Arabidopsis thaliana: one gene and its partner. The protein of the gene in region 1 interacts with the protein of each later gene in a pairwise test. Each region holds a gene or a part of one and is shown in the gene's direction. Other genes may lie near its edges. The genes, in order: SPA4 and PAP1.

Region 1 (6,074 bases):
TGCAGATCCACAAACTCTGTATTTTTGTTCTGTTCATATCTTTGTTAAGCTCTAAAACCATTTCCGCCGTCAAATTCAACTTCAACCGTTTCGACGGAACAAATCTAATCTTCATCGGGTACGCCGAGCTAGGACCAGCAACCGATGGCATGAGCCGGTCCGGAGCTCTCTCCATGACCCGTGACAACATTCCATTCTCACATGGTCAAGGTCTCTACACAGATCCAATCCCATTCAAATCTTCCAACAACACATCTTCTTCTGTTTACTCTTTCAAAACATCTTTCACTTTCTCCATCACTCCTCGACGGTCAAACCCTAACCCTGGTCATGGTATCGCCTTCATCGTGGTCCCAACCGTAGCCTACGAGTACGACCAAGACTCAACCCGCGGCTTCCTCGGTCTAGTTAACCTCACAACCAATGGCAATCCTAATAACCATCTCTTTGCGGTCGAATTCGATGTTTTCCAAGACAAACGTTTTGGTGATATTAATGATAATCATGTTGGTGTTAATATTAACTCTGTTAACTCAAAGGTTTCTGAGAAAGCTGGGTATTGGATTCAGACAAGAACTAGAGGGAAGAATCAATGGTTGTTTAAGGAAGTGAAGCTTAGTAGCGGAGACAACTACAAAGCTTGGATTGAGTATAAGAACAGTAAAGTCATTGTTTGGCTTGCACCTGCGCATTTAAAGAAACCGAAGAGGCCATTGATCGAAACACAAGTTGATCTCTCGGAGGTGGTTCTTGAGACTATGTATACCGGCTTTTCCGGTTCGATGGGTCGTGGCGTCGAGCGTCACGACATTTGGAGCTGGAGTTTTGAGAACACCGCCAAAAACAATTAGTTCTGATTTTGGTCTTGTTTGGTTTGATTTATGTTTGTTACCGGTTTAACAATTATGTATTTTCTCTTGATTTTTATTCAAAAGTGGTTAAAAAGAGAGTACGTATAAAATGTCAAAATCAAATTTAAAATTACTTTGATCGATTAAACCATTAAAAAAAATCCTGAGAAGAAAACATGCACACTGTCCCGGACCATCACCGTCAATGATCTTCTTGGACATGCATCATTGATTTTGTATAAATAAAGACTCGTTAAAAGCCAAAGCACAACCACGTGGTATTGTGGTCATCGTCCTCATCAAATTGAATCAGTTTGTTCATGTCACAAGTTTCTTAACATAAGTTTTTAAAAGATATTACTAAAATTTAAAACTAAAATATTGACAAATCCACGATATATAAGGTTAAAGCTATCACAGTTTCTAGGTCGTATCATTTTCTACAAAAATCTTGCATTACATTTCAGATGGTTTGGTTTCAATAAAAAAACAGAGTTTTTTTTTTTTTTTCATTGATAAATTTGTGTATGTAATCTAATCATAGAAAAAGAAAAAACACGTGGCGTGTCCGGACGCATGTGATTTTGTAATTTACCACTTACGTTGTCGACTTGTCTCAATCCATTCCATGGAAATGGAAACTCCCCTCTGGTTATTAAATGCTCCCACCAATACATTCTCTTTCCTTTCACCAAAACCAATAATACAAACAATTTTGTTTTTCTCATTCAAGATTTTCAAAGTACAATCATTTCTTTAGGTACTTTCTCTTGTAATAAGGCTTCAAATATGTTATTCAAAAATTATTTTGGTCATTTTAAATTCCTATTATAGCCTTACAAAAATGTGTTATATTATTTGGACCACAACATAATTTAAACATTCCTCTTGAAGAAAATTGGTCACTTCAAAAAAGAACAAAATTCACTTTGACCTCATGGTTTACTTATATTTACATATATGGCCCAAAACCAAAATACGAAAAAGGTTTTAGCTTTACGTTCTTTTGATTCCTAGGTCGTCGTTTAACCACGTTGCTTGCGTGGAAAGAGAAGAGAAGTGAAGATTATCAAAAAGCGAAAAATAAAACCCTCACTGTGAAGTAAAAATCGTAGGCCCAAAATAGATTTCTCTTAGCCGAGAATTTAATTTTTATGAATCTGATTATTGCTTTTCTACGAACTCAGTTTTTGCGATGTGTGGTTCTCAAAAAAGGATCGTTTCTTCGGTGCCTCTTAGTCTCTCAAGTACTTCTTCTTCTTCTTATCTTCTTCTTCGCTTTTCTTTTATATATAGAGAGAGTTTAGTGGTCAAGAAGCTTCCTCGTGTTTGTCTCTTTATGTAATCAAAGGTTGCATTTTTATTCGAATATATTTTCTGGTTTTGGTGTTTTCTGTCAAAGGGTCTTTTAAAAATCTTAACTTTCGTTCTAAATTTCTTTACTTTATTTCGATTCTAACTTAGGGCTTTTGGGCTGGGATCATGAAATGAAGTATTGCAGAATCCAGAGGAGTTTGTTTGGTAATCAATGAAGGGTTCTTCAGAATCTAGTTCCAGAGGATTAAACAACACCTCTGGTGTTTCAGAGTTTTGTACAGATGGTTCTAAGTCTTTGTCTCACATTGATTATGTCAGAAGCTTACTTGGTTCACATAAAGAAGCTAACTTGGGAGGACTTGATGATGACTCTATTGTCAGAGCTTTGGAATGTGAGGATGTTAGCTTGCGTCAGTGGTTAGACAATCCAGACCGATCCGTTGATGCCTTTGAGTGTTTTCATGTTTTCAGACAGATTGTTGAGATTGTTAATGCAGCTCACTCTCAAGGCATTGTTGTTCATAATGTTAGGCCTTCTTGTTTCGTTATGTCTTCGTTTAACAATGTTTCGTTTATCGAATCCGCTTCTTGTTCGGATTCCGGGTCTGATGAGGATGCAACAACAAAGTCTCGAGAGATTGGTAGCTCGAGACAAGAGGAGATTCTATCAGAGAGACGAAGCAAACAACAAGAGGAAGTAAAGAAGCAACCTTTCCCTATGAAACAGATATTAGCAATGGAGATGAGTTGGTATACAAGTCATGAAGAAGATAATGGTTCTCTGTGTAATTGTGCTTCTGATATTTACCGTCTTGGTGTTCTTCTCTTTGAGGTTTGTGCGTAAGAAGATTTGATTTTTGTTCTTAACTGCTTTGTTTTCTTGAGAAAACTGATTTGATGAATGTTAGTCTTTGTGCAGCTATTCTGCCCTGTCTCCTCAAGAGAAGAGAAGTCAAGAACTATGTCTAGTTTAAGACATCGTGTTCTTCCCCCTCAGATATTACTCAATTGGCCTAAAGAAGCTTCCTTTTGCTTGTGGTTACTGCATCCTGAGCCTAGCTGTCGACCATCGATGAGGTGATGATTGATTCTCTCTTTGATGTTTTTAGTTTCAATTGGAAAAGTTTTGTCCTTTAATTAAGAGTATTGTCTCCTTTGTCTTTACTTTTGCAGTGAGTTGCTACAAAGTGAGTTTATCAACGAACCTAGAGAGAATTTGGAAGAACGTGAAGCTGCAATGGAGCTACGGGATAGAATCGAGGAACAAGAGTTATTACTCGAGTTCTTGTTTCTGATTCAACAGAGGAAACAAGAAGCTGCAGACAAATTGCAGGATACAATATCGCTTCTCTCTTCTGATATCGATCAAGTCGTAAAGCGACAGTTGGTTTTACAGCAAAAAGGGAGAGATGTCCGTTCGTTCTTAGCCTCAAGAAAACGGATTAGACAAGGAGCTGAGACCACTGCAGCAGAGGAAGAAAATGATGATAATAGCATTGATGAGGAATCTAAGCTTGATGATACTCTAGAAAGTACACTTCTTGAAAGCTCTAGATTAATGAGAAATTTGAAGAAACTGGAATCAGTCTACTTTGCAACACGATACAGACAAATCAAGGCTGCTACTGCTGCTGAAAAACCGTTGGCTAGATATTATTCGGCATTGAGTTGTAACGGTAGAAGTTCAGAAAAGAGTTCAATGAGCCAACCATCAAAAGATCCTATCAATGATTCTAGACAAGGCGGGTGGATCGATCCATTCCTCGAGGGTTTGTGCAAGTATTTGTCTTTTAGTAAGCTAAGAGTGAAAGCAGATTTGAAGCAAGGAGACTTGTTGAACTCGTCTAACCTTGTTTGCGCAATTGGGTTTGATCGTGATGGAGAGTTTTTCGCCACGGCAGGCGTCAACAAAAAGATCAAGATATTCGAATGCGAGTCGATAATAAAAGATGGCCGGGACATTCATTACCCTGTTGTGGAACTTGCTAGCCGGTCTAAGCTTAGTGGTATATGTTGGAACAGTTACATTAAGAGCCAAGTCGCATCAAGTAACTTTGAAGGCGTGGTTCAAGTAAGTTCAGAAGAAAACTCTCAACCTTATTAATCAATGAAAAGTATGAAAAAAAATCTTATAACTAAGGCTAATATTTTCATAGGTTTGGGATGTTGCAAGAAACCAGTTGGTTACAGAGATGAAGGAGCATGAGAAGCGTGTATGGTCCATCGATTATTCATCAGCAGATCCAACATTGTTAGCTAGTGGTAGTGATGATGGTTCGGTTAAGCTCTGGAGTATCAATCAGGCAAACTTCGAAACTAAACCAAAACGTATTTATGCTCGGAAATGCGAGAATAGTTCTTTTGAGGGATGTGTTTTTAACGGTTGAGTTCGTTTTCCTCTGTTTCAGGGGGTTAGTATTGGAACCATCAAGACAAAGGCAAACATATGTTGTGTTCAGTTTCCATCAGAGACGGGTCGGTCTTTAGCATTTGGCTCAGCAGATCACAAAGTTTACTACTATGATCTAAGGAACCCCAAGCTTCCTCTTTGCACAATGATTGGTCACCACAAGACCGTGAGTTATGTTAGATTTGTAGATTCATCAACACTTGTTTCTTCTTCGACGGATAACACGCTGAAGCTATGGGACTTATCAATGTCTATTTCCGGTATTAATGAAACGCCTCTTCACTCATTCATGGGACACACTAATGTTAAGGTATATTTTTTTCGAGATTCGTTTCTATTGCTTCATTTCAAGTTTGCTTTATGAGATTACAAATACATTTCTGTTCTTGCATTGTGTGTAGAACTTTGTTGGATTATCAGTCTCTGACGGGTATATAGCAACAGGCTCTGAGACTAACGAGGTATGTCTACTCTCACTTCATAAATATACAAAAGAAGAACTGTTGATCCCATTTGTCAATAAAAACCGTGAATTTCGTGTGCTTCACTGGACAGGTTTTTGTGTACCACAAGGCATTTCCAATGCCGGTTTTGTCGTACAAGTTCAAAACTATAGACCCTGTGTCGGAACTCGAAGTAGACGATGCCTCGCAGTTCATATCCTCAGTCTGCTGGCGGGGACAGTCGTCGACCTTAGTTGCTGCAAACTCCACCGGCAATATCAAGATTTTGGAGATGGTATGAACCAATATAAAGTGGCTCAGAAGCAAAATGGTAATATTCCAGGGTTTGGATTGGTATAGGAAACAATTTTTGGGAGAGAAAGTAGGAAAAGTGAAAACAATATTGTTGCTACTAAAGAATTGTGTATATAGAAAAAATATATGATATCTTTCTATTTGTTGTATAGTACTTATTGTAAACCCTAATGACACAGGTGGGCAACTTAACATACAAGTAATAATTATTTACTTCAAAAGAATTATACAATCAAGCTGTGGTGTGTATAGAACTGCAAGATTCTCTCCAAGCTGCTTGATTCTTTATACACATTGATTCTTACCTAATTTAGCCTCTGTAACTAACCTATCTACAAGCTCCTTGAGCCTCACAGCCCCTGAGCTAGGCCTGATCCTAGCCACATCTTCGACAACCGAGCACTCTGGTTTCCCACCGCACCAACCGCCTGGAGTAAAACCGTCTTCGTTTATCCGTATAAGCAGTTCCTTATCAATCTTATCCAAAACAGTATCATTTCTTCTGAACTTCCGACCAAATGCAGATCCGCTCGAAATCATCTTTCCCATGTCTCTTTGAGACAACATACGAGGATGCTGCCTCGGTGGCTTGTCCCATGCGATGTAGTGAAGATCATGGTTCACCGCGGTTTTGGAGAACTCAGGCACGTTACATATGACTGTATGGAAGTAACCTTCAGGAGAAGAAACGAAATTGGTGTAGTACATGAGTAAAGTTCTTGGTAAATTGTCCCAACC
Region 2 (4,171 bases), 1.5 Mb from region 1:
ATTAATTTTCTCTTAAAAATATTAATAATTTTTTGAAATCAAAAATTATAGTTATTTTATTTTAATAAACGAGAAACACTACAAAAAAAGTTAACTGCATTTAGATAATTTAATAAACTAAAATATCCACATAAAAATTTCAAATTTATCAAAAATAAAACATCAATTTGTTTTTTGTTTTAAATTAAAGATTTGCTATTGATTGCATAAGGAAGAAAACTTTACAAAGCCGAAAGGCCTAAGAGCCCAACACACACAAAAGAAGAACCATTTTGGATCAAGGGAACCGACCATGGGTATTAGAAGTAGTGGTATAAAGCCCATCATATCCCAACACATAACCCACGAATGTTTAATATTAAAAGTTTGTTGTTCGGCTCATGATTAGCGATGATCATACAGAAAGTTTGTATCTAATACGTGCCTTGAATTTTATGTGTACAACAAACAAATTAAATTATTCAAAACCATAAATTATAAAAAATAATTACAGAAATAAAACTATATTAAGAGCGAGCCTACCATCCGGTGTGCAACTTTCTAGTTTATATACAGTGGCGGATCAACGTTAATGAGGCAAATTGGTTCAAATTCATCTAAATAAGACTAGAGTTCACAGGTTCGATTCCTCCTTATAACAATTTGCTCCCACCAATTTTTTTTGCTGGGTCCGCCCCTGGTTATATATATACTTCTACACCAGGTTTGGGTTCGAGTCCACACATAATTAACGACACAATTATAGTGCACGATAGAATGAACTAAAACAGCTAGAGCGTAGAGGGCTCATTGTCTATAAAAATCCTTCGTTAACTTGCAAGAAACCAAGAGTAGAGGGCTCACACTTAAGTCTCCTACATGACGATTATATTTCGTCAAAAAGAAGCAATTAGTTAGCTTTACAGCATATCATTTCGCCTAGGTTTTCCATCGTACACGTAAATTTTCATGCAAGAAAGCAGAAATATACAAATACTAACTTTTAGATACTGAAAAATGAGATCAGATTCTAGTCAAATTTTGTTAAAAGTATTTATAAATTTAAATTGCAAGTCCTCAAAAAGTACGACTAAAAATGCTTTTCTTAGAAAATGATAATAAACCGGCGTTTTATATATAAGTGTTTCTTTTTCTCTTCTGTCCAGAAGTAAATCATTAAGAACCAATATGGCTTTTCTTAAACTAATCTCCGTGATAATCAAATCTTTGATCATTCTCCACACAATCCCATCAACAACATCGATCTCACTAGATGCACCAACAATGATTCTAATCGGCACTACTAACTATAGAGATAGTTGTCCCAAAAAAAAAAAAAAAAACTAACTAGAGAGATAAATCATATTCAATACATGTACTATTTCTACTATACTTAAGAAAATTTGTATACCACTATCTTAACTCTTAACACTGAACATACTATACACTATCTTAACTCCCAACTCTTGTAAAAGAATATCTAATTTTAAGAAAAGACTTCAAATGCTTGTTAAATTTCTAGTGAAGATGCACATTCTAAAAACTGGTAAAATGGTAAGAAAAAAATATATAAAAAAATAGCCTTATTAAAATTTATATCTCCTATTTCTCTATCCAAACTACACGGATGAAGCTTATTGTTATTCATCCACCCTTTTTCTCAATTCTGTCCTATTTCTTGTGCATGAAACTTCTCCATCTTGTAATCGGATAAATCATACCCAAATTTTTTCTTTCTGAAAACATATATACCCGAACATTAATTACTATCGTCCTTTCTCCTAATTTTGTTAAGAAACATGTTTGTTTGTTTTTAGTACTGAAAAAGGATGGAGATACTTGCTAGATCCTATGAACCTTTTCTCTCTAGGACAAATCAGTAACCAAACAATAACTTAGCAAATTAAGCACGACAGCTAATACATAAAATGTGGATATCAAACATGCACGTCACTTCCTTTTTTCCGTCACGTGTTTTTATAAATTTTCTCACATACTCACACTCTCTATAAGACCTCCAATCATTTGTGAAACCATACTATATATACCCTCTTCCTTGACCAATTTACTTATACCTTTTACAATTTGTTTATATATTTTACGTATCTATCTTTGTTCCATGGAGGGTTCGTCCAAAGGGCTGCGAAAAGGTGCTTGGACTACTGAAGAAGATAGTCTCTTGAGACAGTGCATTAATAAGTATGGAGAAGGCAAATGGCACCAAGTTCCTGTAAGAGCTGGTATGTTATTTACGAACACACACACACTAACCGACACACACACACACAAATATGAATATCTATAATCACTACCAATAGTCTTCGTTCTCTCTATTTTCTATTCAGAAAATTGATTAATACCCGGTATTAAAAAAAAAAAAAAAAATTTGTTTAAATGAGTACAAATCATTGTTACAACTTCTTTATGCTGTTTTTACATGCTATTAAAGGTTGTGCATGAAAATTTCTTTTGCTGTTCGTATTTGTTTTACACCTAAACGAAGATTTTTACTTAAAATTAAAGAAAAAAAATTATACTAATTTTAGTTACGTTGCGTATTGCTAGCTTCTCCTATAAAGTCGTTCAAATTTTTACACGCTTGTCTTCTTGTAAATGAATTCGTGGGAAAATTTTGTATGAACACGTGTTTCTGTGTTGGAACAGTTCTTTATTTTTATTGGTGTGCATAGATTCTTCCTGATAAAATATATAGAAGGAGACAAATAAAAAACAGTCTTAGTATGTAGGTATAATCAAAGAATCAATTATTGGTTTTGTAGGGCTAAACCGGTGCAGGAAAAGTTGTAGATTAAGATGGTTGAACTATTTGAAGCCAAGTATCAAGAGAGGAAAACTTAGCTCTGATGAAGTCGATCTTCTTCTTCGCCTTCATAGGCTTCTAGGGAATAGGTATTAATTGTTACCTCGATACTACTTAACTCGGAGAGTCGTCATAAGTTAATACTAATAACATATGTATATTTTCTTACAATTGTTAGGTGGTCTTTAATTGCTGGAAGATTACCTGGTCGGACCGCAAATGACGTCAAGAATTACTGGAACACTCATCTGAGTAAGAAACATGAACCGTGTTGTAAGATAAAGATGAAAAAGAGAGACATTACGCCCATTCCTACAACACCGGCACTAAAAAACAATGTTTATAAGCCTCGACCTCGATCCTTCACAGTTAACAACGACTGCAACCATCTCAATGCCCCACCAAAAGTTGACGTTAATCCTCCATGCCTTGGACTTAACATCAATAATGTTTGTGACAATAGTATCATATACAACAAAGATAAGAAGAAAGACCAACTAGTGAATAATTTGATTGATGGAGATAATATGTGGTTAGAGAAATTCCTAGAGGAAAGCCAAGAGGTAGATATTTTGGTTCCTGAAGCGACGACAACAGAAAAGGGGGACACCTTGGCTTTTGACGTTGATCAACTTTGGAGTCTTTTCGATGGAGAGACTGTGAAATTTGATTAGTGTTTCGAACATTTGTTTGCGTTTGTGTATAGGTTTGCTTTCACCTTTTAATTTGTGTGTTTTGATAAATAAGCTAATAGTTTTTAGCATTTTAATGAAATATTTCAAGTTTCCGTGTTTACATTTTGAAGAAAATAAAATATTAATATATTCTGAAGATTTTTGTTTTTTTTTGGTTATCTACATGACAACAGTAAAAATAGAAAAAAAATCTTATTTTTTGAAAAAGGTATGTATCCGGTGTTTAGAATACTTTCCGAAATCAAACCGCCTATATTTCTAATCACTATGTAAAATTGTAAACCAATTGGGTTAAAACTCAACTAACAAACTTTCTAAATAAATGTCATTTTTGTTTTCAAATATGATTGAACTCGGATTTAGGAGTTTTACCCTTCAGTACCAAACCTTCTCTACCGACCATGTATGGTTGGGCAAATGTCATGTTTTACAATGTTTAGATTACTAAACACTTTGGTTGAGAAGGCAATGCTTTATTTATATATTCTGAAGTCATGTTTTAGTGTTATTTTTATTTATTTTTAAATGCATAGATTGTTAACGTGCAGATTCTCATATGGGCTTAGTTTCTGGATTTTGATTATCAAAACCGTATTCCACTCTTAAATGATTACGACAAAAAAATCAATACTACTAACAAACCTATTTCCCAGTTATTAATTAGTCAATAACAATT

The links.
Region 2: the proteins of SPA4 (region 1) and PAP1 interact in a two-hybrid assay, tested with the Arabidopsis thaliana proteins (one study listed by BioGRID).

What each region holds. Positions count from the first base shown.
Region 1 is NC_003070.9:19,781,369-19,787,442, forward strand, and holds SPA4 (SPA1-related 4), read left to right. Parts: upstream 1-1,816; 5' UTR 1,817-2,202; exon of another isoform or gene 2,203-2,315; 5' UTR 2,316-2,379; coding exon 2,380-3,000; intron 3,001-3,076; exon of another isoform or gene 3,077-3,087; coding exon 3,088-3,245; intron 3,246-3,341; coding exon 3,342-4,239; intron 4,240-4,324; coding exon 4,325-4,471; coding exon of another isoform or gene 4,472-4,496; intron 4,497-4,576; coding exon 4,577-4,888; intron 4,889-4,979; coding exon 4,980-5,039; intron 5,040-5,133; coding exon 5,134-5,322; 3' UTR 5,323-5,534; downstream 5,535-6,074. Other genes in the region: AT1G53080 (Legume lectin family protein), read left to right, coding at 1-851; AT1G53100 (Core-2/I-branching beta-1,6-N-acetylglucosaminyltransferase family protein), read right to left, coding at 5,622-6,074. UniProt on the Arabidopsis thaliana protein: Repressor of photomorphogenesis in the light. Probably part of the COP1/SPA E3 ubiquitin-protein ligase complex.
Region 2 is NC_003070.9:21,233,017-21,237,187, reverse strand, and holds PAP1 (production of anthocyanin pigment 1), read left to right. Parts: upstream 1-1,895; 5' UTR 1,896-2,098; coding exon 2,099-2,219; intron 2,220-2,759; coding exon 2,760-2,889; intron 2,890-2,978; coding exon 2,979-3,474; 3' UTR 3,475-3,633; downstream 3,634-4,171.